Linked DNA regions of Mus musculus. The protein of the gene in region 2 interacts with the protein of the main gene of each other region in a biochemical or structural test. Links are inferred from orthologs where the notes say so. Each region holds a gene or a part of one and is shown on either strand. Other genes may lie near its edges. The genes, in order: Med1, Esr1 and Foxo1.

Region 1 (3,653 bases), on a different chromosome or scaffold from region 2:
AACCAAATAAATTTTAAAAAGAAAAAAAAAACAAAACTAGATTGCCTGGTGTGGAATCTGGTGTGTTCATGTTTCCTTTAATCCAAGTATTTGGAGGCAGAGGTAGGTAGAACTCTGAGCTACACAGAGAGACCCTTTCTGAAAATAAACAAACAGGTTAAAGTTGTAGCATGTAAGTACAGTTCTTGCCTACCACTGGTGAGGCGTTGGGTTGTCAGCCCTGCAAAAAAAAAAAAAAAAGCAAGTCTAAAACAATATCCAAAACGAATCTGTAATACATGTGTATTATGTGTATGTACATGTATGTGGTCTCAGCGCATGTTGGTGTTTTGTTTGGTTGGCTTATGTATTCCTGTAGACCAGGCTGGCCTGAGCCTCACAGAGATCCCCGAGTTTGGTGGAAGGTGGAACTCTGGGATACTGAGACCAGCCTGGCCTACAGAGTGATTTCCAGAAGAGTCAGAGCTACACGGAGAAACCTTGCCTAGAAATACTTAACAAACAAAATGAAAATCGGTGTTACTCAGGCTAATGTTGTGCATGACTGTATGCCAGCACTAGATAGGAGGCAGAAGCAGGGGCAGGTAGCTCTAGACAGACAGTGAGGGTCAGCCAAGGGCTGCACCGGGAACCTGCCTCAGAAACCAACCAAACCACCCTTACTGAGGAAGTTTTACGGTAATAGTACTGATTGGCCACATCAAATAAATGAAAAGACTAATTGAGAGCTGGGCATGGTCGTGAGTACCTGTAATCTCAGTGTTAGAGAGGCTAAGACGGGATTTGGGGTTCAAGAGTAACCTGTGCTACACAAGACTATGTCATAAGTTACAAAATGAAACAAAAGTCTTGGCCATTCCTGGTTTCAGAATTCACTCTCAATTTAGGCTGTTTACTAATTTTTTGTTTTTAAGTTTTTCTATGTTGTAATTATTTTATATTCATGAATGTTTTGCCTGCCTGTATGTATGTGTACCTTGTGCGTGCCTGGTGATCAACTGGCGATGTTACTATTTGCATAAAGACAATTATTTGTTTGTTTAATGTCTTAAATATGGTTATGATCTTTTTCCTCATTGTTCAGATTCTCCTGGGCTCCTCCAGTTTGAAGTGTGTCCTCTCTCAGAATCTCGCTTCAGTGTATCTTTTCAGCACCCTGTGAATGACTCCCTTGTGTGTGGTGAGTTGTGTGGGTGGCCAGCCTCTCTTGGGGACATCCTTTCTTGAAAAATTGAGAACCCGGATGGATCACAAGGATCACTTCCACATTTTGTCTTTCAGTGGTGATGGATGTGCAAGACTCAACACATGTGAGCTGTAAACTCTACAAGGGGCTGTCAGATGCACTAATCTGTACAGACGACTTCATTGCCAAAGTTGTTCAAAGGTAGTAGTGGCCCTTTTCTCCTAAGAATTTCACTGAGATTTGTACAGTGTGTGGATGCAATTATGTATTTATTTATTCATTTATTTTTCAAGAAAGGCTGTCCTGGAACTCTCTATATACCAGGCTGCCCTTGAACTCAGATCTGCCTGCTGCTGCCTCCCGAGTGCTGGGTTTAAATGTGTGTGTGCATCCTCATGATATATCCCATACCCAGGGTCTATATGTTTATGTTTAACATAAGTTAAAAGTATTAGAAAAACATTGCCATTTAAATTTAAATATTTAAATTTACTCCTTTTATGCTTTGAGATTTAAAATAATGTGACATTTTTTGTTTGTTATTTAAAAGTCACTATGTACACAGTAGGGATAAAGCTGGCCATTTCCAGCCTTGCTATACATTTAAGGTGATAGAGAGCTGAGAAATAAACTTTGTTTTTAAAGACACACTCACTGTTGCCTCCATAGAATTTACTGTTTAGACCAGGTGGGCCTTGAATTCCTTTGCCTTGTGCTGATTAAAGGGTGGGTATCTTCATGACTCGCCTAAATTATTAGGTTTTTTTTTTTTTTTTTTAACATACCCTCTTCTTTCACATATACCATGTTATATAGCTGTGTGTGGGGAGTTAACATTTAAACCAGCAAACTTCCTGGAAACATTAATATGTACTTTTGAAATTTTTCTTTCTAAAGTAGGGAGGAAGTAGCCTATTTTAAAAAAGAGATTTCATTTACTTACGGTTTGTTTTTTTTTTAAAGATTGATTTATTTATTATATGTGAGTACACTGTAGCTGTCTTCAGACACTCCAGAAGAGGGAGTTAGATTTTGGTTTTTGTTTGTTTGTTTGTTTGTTTGTTTTGGTTTTTCGAAACAGGGTTTCTCTGTATAGCCTTGGCTGTCCTGGAGCTCACTGTGTAGACCAGGCTGGCCTCAAACTCAGAAATTCGCCTGCCTCTGCCTCCCGAGTGCTGGGATTAAAGGCGTGCGTCACCACACCCGGCCCTAGATTTTGTTAAGGATGGTTGTGAGCCACCATGTTGTTGCTGGGATTTGAACTCAGGACCTTTAGAAGAGCAGTCAGTGCTCTTAACCACTGAGCCATCTGTCCAGCCCCCTACTTACGGTTTTTTAAAAAACTCTTATTGCTCGTTGTGAATTTCAGATTCTGCACCACAGTCCCACTCATCCTCCCATCCCGCCACATCCACCCTCTGCCCTTGCGACCTCAAAGGAAACAAAAAGCTTGTTTGTTTGTTTGTTTGTTTGTTTGTTTTGGTTTTGGTTTTTTTGGGGGGGCTGAGGGGAAGCTGTACTGTGTCACAGTGTGTCCTGAGGTATGCCCGAATCGCTTTCCTTAAAAATGTTCAATGCAGTGAGTCATTGATCTGGTTTGAGGCCTCTGTCTTCTGCTTCACTATCAATACTGGATCCTCACTGAGGCTCCCCTCAGATAGTCTGTTGTTGCCCTGTATCATGGAGATCCTGCAGCTTTGGATCTGCAGGACTGGACCTTTATTTAAGTTTTGAGGCATGGCCTTGTGTTTTCCAAGCTGGCCGTGATAATGTAATTAAGGCTGACCTTGAATTCCCAATCCTTCTGCCTTAGATACCCAAGTGCTTTCATCAGAGGCATAAGCCACTCTACCTGGTTTATTTGGTGCCAGGGAGAAAACCCAGGGCTGTGTGCCTGGTAGGCAGGCACTGTAATAATTGAGCCCCATCTTCATCCTCAAAATAGATTTTAATAGATTGTGATTAACTTTGATTGGAACGCTGCTGTTCATTTTACATATCCCCAGCACCTGTCAAGTAAAACTGTCAACATCTTGAAGATAAAACACTTAATAGTTATAATGCCCAAAATATCAGTATTTGCCTCAGGGTAAAATTTGTTAACACACATAGTAAAGCAAAATGTCTTAAAAAGTCTGTTGAGAATGTAAACTTACCCAGAAGCTAAAACTAGTCTGTGCTAAGATAACTAGTACTGCAGACCAGCAACAGAACTTTCCAGAGTGGCTTTTGCTATATTTCCTCCTGAGTTTACTTATCATGACCTTTCCTCCCCAGGTTTCTTCCATAGTTTTCATTTTTGAGACAGGGTCTGGCTGTTGTAGTTCAGACTTGCCTTGAACTTGAAGTTCCCGTGCCACCCACGCCTGACAACTTTCTTTTAGCTCAGTGTAAATTGTTTTTGGACTCTGTTTTGGTTTTTGTGTGTTTCATAAGAAGTTAGTTTTCTATTGGATTGCAATTCTTT
Region 2 (3,653 bases):
AGAACTGTTTGGGAAGGATTAAGAGGGCTGGCCGTGTAGGAAGGGTTGTGATCATGTGCTTTGAGATTTTAAAAGTCCACACCATTCTAGTTAGTTCTCTCTCTCTCTCTCTCTCTCTCTCTCTCTCTCTCTCTCTCTCTCTCCTGCTTGTGGATCAGATATAAGCTCTAAGCTACTGCTCCAGCACTATTCTTGCCTGCCTACCTACTGCCTACTGTGATGGTCACAGATACTAACTTTCTGAAATCATGAGCTCCAATAAATGTTTTCTTTTGTAAAGTCATAGTGTCTCTTCACAGTAATAGACAAGGAATTAAGACAATTGCCCACACTTAGAAGGATGACCACACATCCAGGGGTTCATGACTAGTACAAACTGGCTTTGATAGGTTTAATACAAAAAAGTATACAAGTTAGGTAGGTAGGAAAGAGCCTTGATATGCTCTGAGAAGAGATGGGAGACAGTGAGTGAATATGATCAGAATACAATGCCTAGGGAGCTGGAGGGGTGGCTTAGTGGTTAAAGGCACTGGCTGTTCTTTCAGAGAACCCAGCATCTGCACTGAAAGCTAAAAACTGCCTGTAGTTCTACCTCTAGAGAATCCAATGCCTTCTGAACTCCAGGTGTACTTGCACGTCTATGGACCACACAGACACATAAAAATAAAATATATCTTAAAATATGTGAAGGCTTGATACCCCAGTGTAGGGGAATTCCAGGGCAGGGAGGGGCAGTGGGTGGGGGAGCACCCTCATAGAAGCAGGGAGAGGGAGGATGGGGTAGGGGGTTTCTTAGGCAGGGGAACTGGGAAAGGGGATAACATTTGAAATGTAAATAAATAAAATATCCAATGAAAATATATATTGCATGACATTCTCACACAATTAATAAAATCTCTATATTAGTGAATGATCTCCATACCAGACACTATTCTAGGCTTTGGCTATGCATATCCGATTCTTCTAAGTCATTTTCATTTGTCTGAACATGTATAGTCCGCATGGGGCCTTTGCCAATCTCTTTCCTTCCAACGACCCATTTGGGAGTCCTCTTAGATTTCTTTTTAGCTACTCTTTCATTTTCTCTATCCCAATCTTCATATAAGTTGACAAAAAATGCCCCCCCCTTTCATACCTACCACTCACCACACCCATTCTCCGACCAAGAGATTTTGGTAGGGGTGGTCCACTTCCCCTCCCGAAAGTCCTCTGCTCAAGCCCAAATCCATGCGAGCGGTCCTCTGGTTGGATTTCTCTGTCCCATTTGACAAAGTGAACGCAAACTCCTTTTGTAAAGTGTTCTTAAAGCTGTTTACTCCTCCATTTTCTTGGTTCCTCTAGAGCTCAGCTTTCTTACTATGCACATTCAGTTTCATTCCTGGGATTTGCTCCTTCCACGAAGGTTTTGAAGGTTGGAATAACCATCTGTATTCTGAGGCTCTTCCCATCCCATGTGCTTGAGTGGTGGAACACTTGAAGATGTAATTGCAGTGTCAAGTTGTAAAAAAAAACAGTCACCCTGGGTTGCCCGATAACAATAACATAAGGATTTGAATTGATATTGTTTCTTATGTGTAGTTTCCATGGGTCATCACTGGGTCTGTGTTCTGAATCCACCAGCTGCTGTAGGCTTTGTCTCGCTTTCCTGAAGACCTTTCATATGGTGTAGATTGGAATGAGACTTGTCTATCTTCGTTTTGAATTAATTATGAATGTCTGAAAAAAAAGAAGTTTGTTAGAAACCTGCTAGCATTTTGTTATTTTATGGATAATCTGTTCTGGGGTATGCAGTCCATTTCTTAAACAAGTTTGTTAAAAAAAAATCAATTTTTCTTCAAGGTTAATATAACAGGCAAATACCTTCTGCTGCATGTGTCAGAAAGAGACAATGGAAGATCAGTGTATATTATGAATCGTTATTTCAAAATGTCAGAATAAAGTGGGTCTGCTGCATCCCCCAGGTCTCACATTCTTGAGAGGGGAAGGAAGGCTTGCTTCTCAAATGCTAATGGATTCGCTGTTTTTCTCCCATCCCACCCCCAGGTCTAATTCTGACAATCGACGCCAGAATGGCCGAGAGAGACTGTCCAGCAGTAACGAGAAAGGAAACATGATCATGGAGTCTGCCAAGGAGACTCGCTACTGTGCCGTGTGCAATGACTATGCCTCTGGCTACCATTATGGGGTCTGGTCCTGCGAAGGCTGCAAGGCTTTCTTTAAGAGAAGCATTCAAGGTAATAGTGTATTGTCTAAAAACTGCTCTGTTTATGCCCTAAAAACAGCAGAGAACAGAAAGGAAGACAAGGTCTTTGTACAGCGCTATTTGCACAACACATGAATATCTAGTAAGTCTCTCTGTTCTCCTTGGTTGAAACTTGGAAAAGACACAGACTCCCAGGAGAAGTGGTAATGCCAGGGAAGCTGTGGCTAAGAATTTCTGCTTCCCCCTGGCAAGATAAGACAGCTTTGAGCAACTCCACTAGAAGAATTGGTAACTGGGTCTCTAGTGTACAAGGAAATGTCTCTGGCTTGATGCAGGCATGGCAGGCATACATTCTTATTCTTTCTCAGCTAAGCTTATGTGATGTGGCCTTGTCCAGGTAAATATTATGTTCTGATCTTTACTCCAGACTGACTCTGATTCAAATTGTTCTTTTCCCGCCCTACATCTCTTTCTTGACTCAATGGATGACATGACCTTTTGCTAACATGAGCAGACTCAATGTCTGCTGCCTTATGAGGGACACCCCATCAGTACTGTGTACTTATAAAGAACCAGCTGTGCCACCTCATTCTCCTGCCTTCCTTGGTCCCTCTTTGTGTACAGTTTATAAGTGCAGCTTTCCTGACAAGCCACCAGATACATGCTGTTGCTCCTTTAGAAAGGCCAGTACTGTCACACGATACAGAATTCCACTGGGAAATGTCAGTCATTTTTACTCCCTAAGGTGTGTGCACTAAAGTCCTTGACAGGGACAGAGGCCCGATGGTACTTTTGACTTCTTGAATTCATCTTTTTTTCCCCCCCTAGCAGTGGGGTAGTTTTCTTTCTTCTCTCTTCTTTACCTTTAGAGCTTAAATAAAGCTTAGTGTAGAGCTATGAAGGATACTCCTGCTGCAGTGCCTTCTACAAAATGCCAACTTAAGGAACTTGTTGAAAACCAGAACCTGCCACATTAATAGACACTGACCCAAGAAGAGATTCTCAGGAACTTTCTGCCTCGCCTCTTCAGCTCTGATATGGGCTAACAACCAGGGGATGGTGCACACTATTTATCTTTCCTCCACAGCTGGAAGAACATTTTAAAAAGCTGTTCATATCTTAATAGAGTAGCCTGTGAGGTCAATGTGGTCCATTTTAAAAGCATTTTCCTTGACACTTATTGCTTTCAACATCTTTTAGAATTCTGCTGTAAGACTTGGACTCCTTTGTCTGTGTTCCTAAAAAAATTAATGATATTCTCTATAGCAACTCTTTGTATATATCCCTCTGTTTGAGTGTATCACACACGAACTATTAATTTTATTACCTGATATCAATTTAATTCAGAAAAATAAAATTTAAATCTAGTTTTAGGTCAGTATAAACTTTATCAGGCTTTTGGCAAACATCTTAATTTGTGGATTTACTTTTTATTTGATTTCATACAATT
Region 3 (3,653 bases), on a different chromosome or scaffold from region 2:
TCCATCAACTTGCGATCTCTTACTGAGTTTATTACTGCTGTTGAGAGCCAGTGAGGTAGCTTGTTTTGCTGCACAAGTTTTATTCTCAGAACCCAAGTAAAGGTGGAAGGTGAAAAGAGACTCCAAAAGCTGTCTTCTGACCTCCACACAAATTACGAGCTGTTAGGCTGCTCAGAATGGGCACTGTATATCTCTGATCCCCATTGAGCAGTAAGTTTTCCAAGGGGGGAGTGCTGCACTTCTAACATACTGTTTTGCTTTGCAGAATTCAATTCGCCACAATCTGTCCCTTCACAGCAAGTTTATTCGAGTGCAGAATGAAGGAACTGGAAAGAGTTCTTGGTGGATGCTCAATCCAGAGGGAGGCAAGAGCGGAAAATCACCCCGGAGAAGAGCTGCGTCCATGGACAACAACAGTAAATTTGCTAAGAGCCGAGGGCGGGCTGCTAAGAAAAAAGCATCTCTCCAGTCTGGGCAAGAGGGTCCTGGAGACAGCCCTGGGTCTCAGTTTTCTAAGTGGCCTGCGAGTCCTGGGTCCCACAGCAACGATGACTTTGATAACTGGAGTACATTTCGTCCTCGAACCAGCTCAAATGCTAGTACCATCAGTGGGAGACTTTCTCCCATCATGACAGAGCAGGATGACCTGGGAGATGGGGACGTGCATTCCCTGGTGTATCCACCCTCTGCTGCCAAGATGGCGTCTACGCTGCCCAGTCTGTCTGAAATCAGCAATCCAGAAAACATGGAGAACCTTCTGGATAATCTCAACCTTCTCTCGTCCCCAACATCTTTAACTGTGTCCACCCAGTCCTCGCCTGGCAGCATGATGCAGCAGACACCATGCTATTCGTTTGCACCGCCAAACACCAGTCTAAATTCACCCAGTCCAAACTACTCAAAGTACACATACGGCCAATCCAGCATGAGCCCTTTGCCCCAGATGCCTATGCAGACACTTCAGGACAGCAAATCAAGTTACGGAGGATTGAACCAGTATAACTGTGCCCCAGGACTCTTGAAAGAGTTGTTGACTTCTGACTCTCCTCCCCACAATGACATTATGTCACCGGTTGATCCCGGAGTGGCCCAACCCAACAGTCGGGTCCTGGGCCAAAATGTAATGATGGGCCCTAATTCGGTCATGCCAGCGTATGGCAGCCAGGCATCTCATAACAAAATGATGAACCCCAGCTCCCACACCCACCCTGGACATGCACAGCAAACGGCTTCGGTCAACGGCCGTACCCTGCCCCATGTGGTGAACACCATGCCTCACACATCTGCCATGAACCGCTTGACCCCCGTGAAGACACCTTTACAAGTGCCTCTGTCCCACCCCATGCAGATGAGTGCCCTGGGCAGCTACTCCTCGGTGAGCAGCTGCAATGGCTATGGTAGGATGGGTGTCCTCCACCAGGAGAAGCTCCCAAGTGACTTGGATGGCATGTTTATTGAGCGCTTGGACTGTGACATGGAGTCCATCATTCGGAATGACCTCATGGATGGAGATACCTTGGATTTTAACTTTGATAATGTGTTGCCCAACCAAAGCTTCCCACACAGTGTCAAGACTACAACACACAGCTGGGTGTCAGGCTAAGAGTTAGTGAGCAGGTAAGTTTATTCACTGCAGTATCAAGAGGCCTTTTGAAAAAGGGACACAGTACCATGTGTCTTCCTTCCATGGTTAGACATTAAAAAAATAAAAATAAAAAAAATAAAAATAAAAACGTAATTAAAGACAGGGTCTTATGTAACTCATCCCTACCAGGCCTGGCTTACTTGGTGCTGGGGTCTAACCCAGGGCAACACTGACAGAGCTATGCCCAGGGTTGCATTAGGCTTTCTTCTAATGCCATCTGGTTGCAGGTGCTTACCTGTTATTGTCCTCCCCTCCCTCCCTCCCTCCGTTTATCAGTTTGCCTTTTGGGGTTAAAATAGAGTGCAGATTGCTTTAGCAGCTTTTAAGACTTTCTTTTCACTGTAGGATGGGTTGTGCTTTCTGCCAGCTCTAAAATAAATGGACACATTGGAATCAAATCAGATGCCAAAGGTCTTTTCTTTTCCTCCCATTTTTTCTCAATAAAGAAAAAAAATGTACCCATTGAATAATTTTGTAGCTGTTTGAGAAGGCTGGAGCTTCCCCTACCCCCAACTTGATTAAGTACAATTGAGTTGAAAATGACTATATTTTTATTGTGTGTGTTTTTCCCCTTTAGGCTACATTTAAAAGTCCTTCAGATTGTCTGACAGCAGGAACTGAGGAGCAGTCCAAAGATGCCCTTCACCCCTCCTTATAGTTTTCAAGATTTAAAAAAAAAAAAAAAAAAAAAAAAAGTCCTTTCTCCTTTCCTCAGACTTGGCAACAGCGGCAGCACTTTCCTGTGCAGGATGTTTGCCCAGCGTCCGCAGGTTTTGTGCTCCTGTAGATAAGGACTGTGCCATTGGGAATCATTACAATGAAGTGCCAAACTCACTACACCATGTAATTGCAGAAAAGACTTTCAGATCCTGGAGTGCTTTCAAGTTTTGTATATATGCAGTAGATACAGAATTGTATTTGTGTGTGTGTTTTTTAATACCTACTTGGTCCAAGGAAAGTTTATACTCTTTTGTAATACTGTGATGGTCTCAAGTCTTGATAAACTTTGCTTTGTACTACCTGTGTTCTGCTACAGTGAGAAGTCATGAACTAAGATCTCTGTCCTGCACCTCGGCTGAATGACTGAACCTGGTCATTTGCCACAGAACCCATGAGAGCCAAGTAGCCAGTGATCAATGTGCTGAATTAATGGACTTGTCAAACTTTGGGGCAGAATAAGATTAAGTGCCAGCTTTGTACAGGTCTTTTTCTATTGTTTTTGTTGTTGTTTATTTTGTTATTTGCAAATTTGTACAAACAACTTAAAATGGTTCTAATTTCCAGATAAATGACTTTTGATGTTATTGTTAGGACTCAACATCTTTTGGAATAGATACCGAAGTGTAATGTTTTCTTAAAACTAGAGTCTACTTTGTTACATTGTCTGCTTATAAATTTGTGAAATCAGAGGTATTTGGGGGCTGCATTCATAATTTTCATTTTGTATTTCTAACTGGATTAGTACTAATTTTATATGTGCTCAGCTGGTTTGTACACTTTGCGATGATACCTGATAATGTTTCTGACTAATCGTAAACCATTGTAATTAGTACTTGCACACTCAACGTTCCTGGCCCTTTGGGCAGGAAAGTTATGTATAGTTACAGACACTCTGTTTTGTGTGTAGATTTATGTGTGTATTTTAAAGAAATTTCACCTGCTTTTATTACCCTGTGAGTTGTGTACAGCGCATAGCACCAAGTCTTCAGATAGATGCCACGTGCTTACAGCCTTCTAGGGAAGCCTGCCAGATGATGCCCTGTGTCACGCTGTCATAGTTCCCATGGGAACTCTGTCTGTCGCTCAGGAAAGGGGAACTTTTATCTAAGGTGATGTTCTTTGTCTGACTGGGGTTCGCCTCCTACTACTCTGAGCTGTTGGCTTTTGTCACGATGGAGGTGGCTTTGTGGCTCTGTCCTGAAGAATCCTGTCACTTCTCGGTCCCCACCTCTGTTCTCTTTGGCTCTGAACAGTGTAAATCTAAGGAGGAAGTTTACAAATAGGACTT

Evidence for each region.
Region 1: the proteins of Esr1 (region 2) and Med1 form a complex in vitro, tested with the Homo sapiens proteins (6 studies listed by BioGRID). The link is inferred for Mus musculus from reciprocal best matches to the Homo sapiens genes ESR1 and MED1.
Region 3: the proteins of Esr1 (region 2) and Foxo1 form a complex in vitro, tested with the Homo sapiens proteins (2 studies listed by BioGRID). The link is inferred for Mus musculus from reciprocal best matches to the Homo sapiens genes ESR1 and FOXO1.

Annotation. Positions count from the first base shown.
Region 1 is NC_000077.6:98,158,671-98,162,323, reverse strand, and holds part of Med1 (mediator of RNA polymerase II transcription subunit 1), read left to right. Parts: intron 1-1,084; coding exon 1,085-1,180; intron 1,181-1,281; coding exon 1,282-1,387; intron 1,388-3,653. UniProt on the Homo sapiens protein: Component of the Mediator complex, a coactivator involved in the regulated transcription of nearly all RNA polymerase II-dependent genes.
Region 2 is NC_000076.6:4,744,574-4,748,226, forward strand, and holds part of Esr1 (estrogen receptor), read left to right. Parts: intron 1-2,043; coding exon 2,044-2,234; intron 2,235-3,653.
Region 3 is NC_000069.6:52,344,774-52,348,426, forward strand, and holds part of Foxo1 (forkhead box protein O1), read left to right. Parts: intron 1-265; coding exon 266-1,603; 3' UTR 1,604-1,617; intron 1,618-2,222; 3' UTR 2,223-3,653. UniProt on the Homo sapiens protein: Transcription factor that is the main target of insulin signaling and regulates metabolic homeostasis in response to oxidative stress.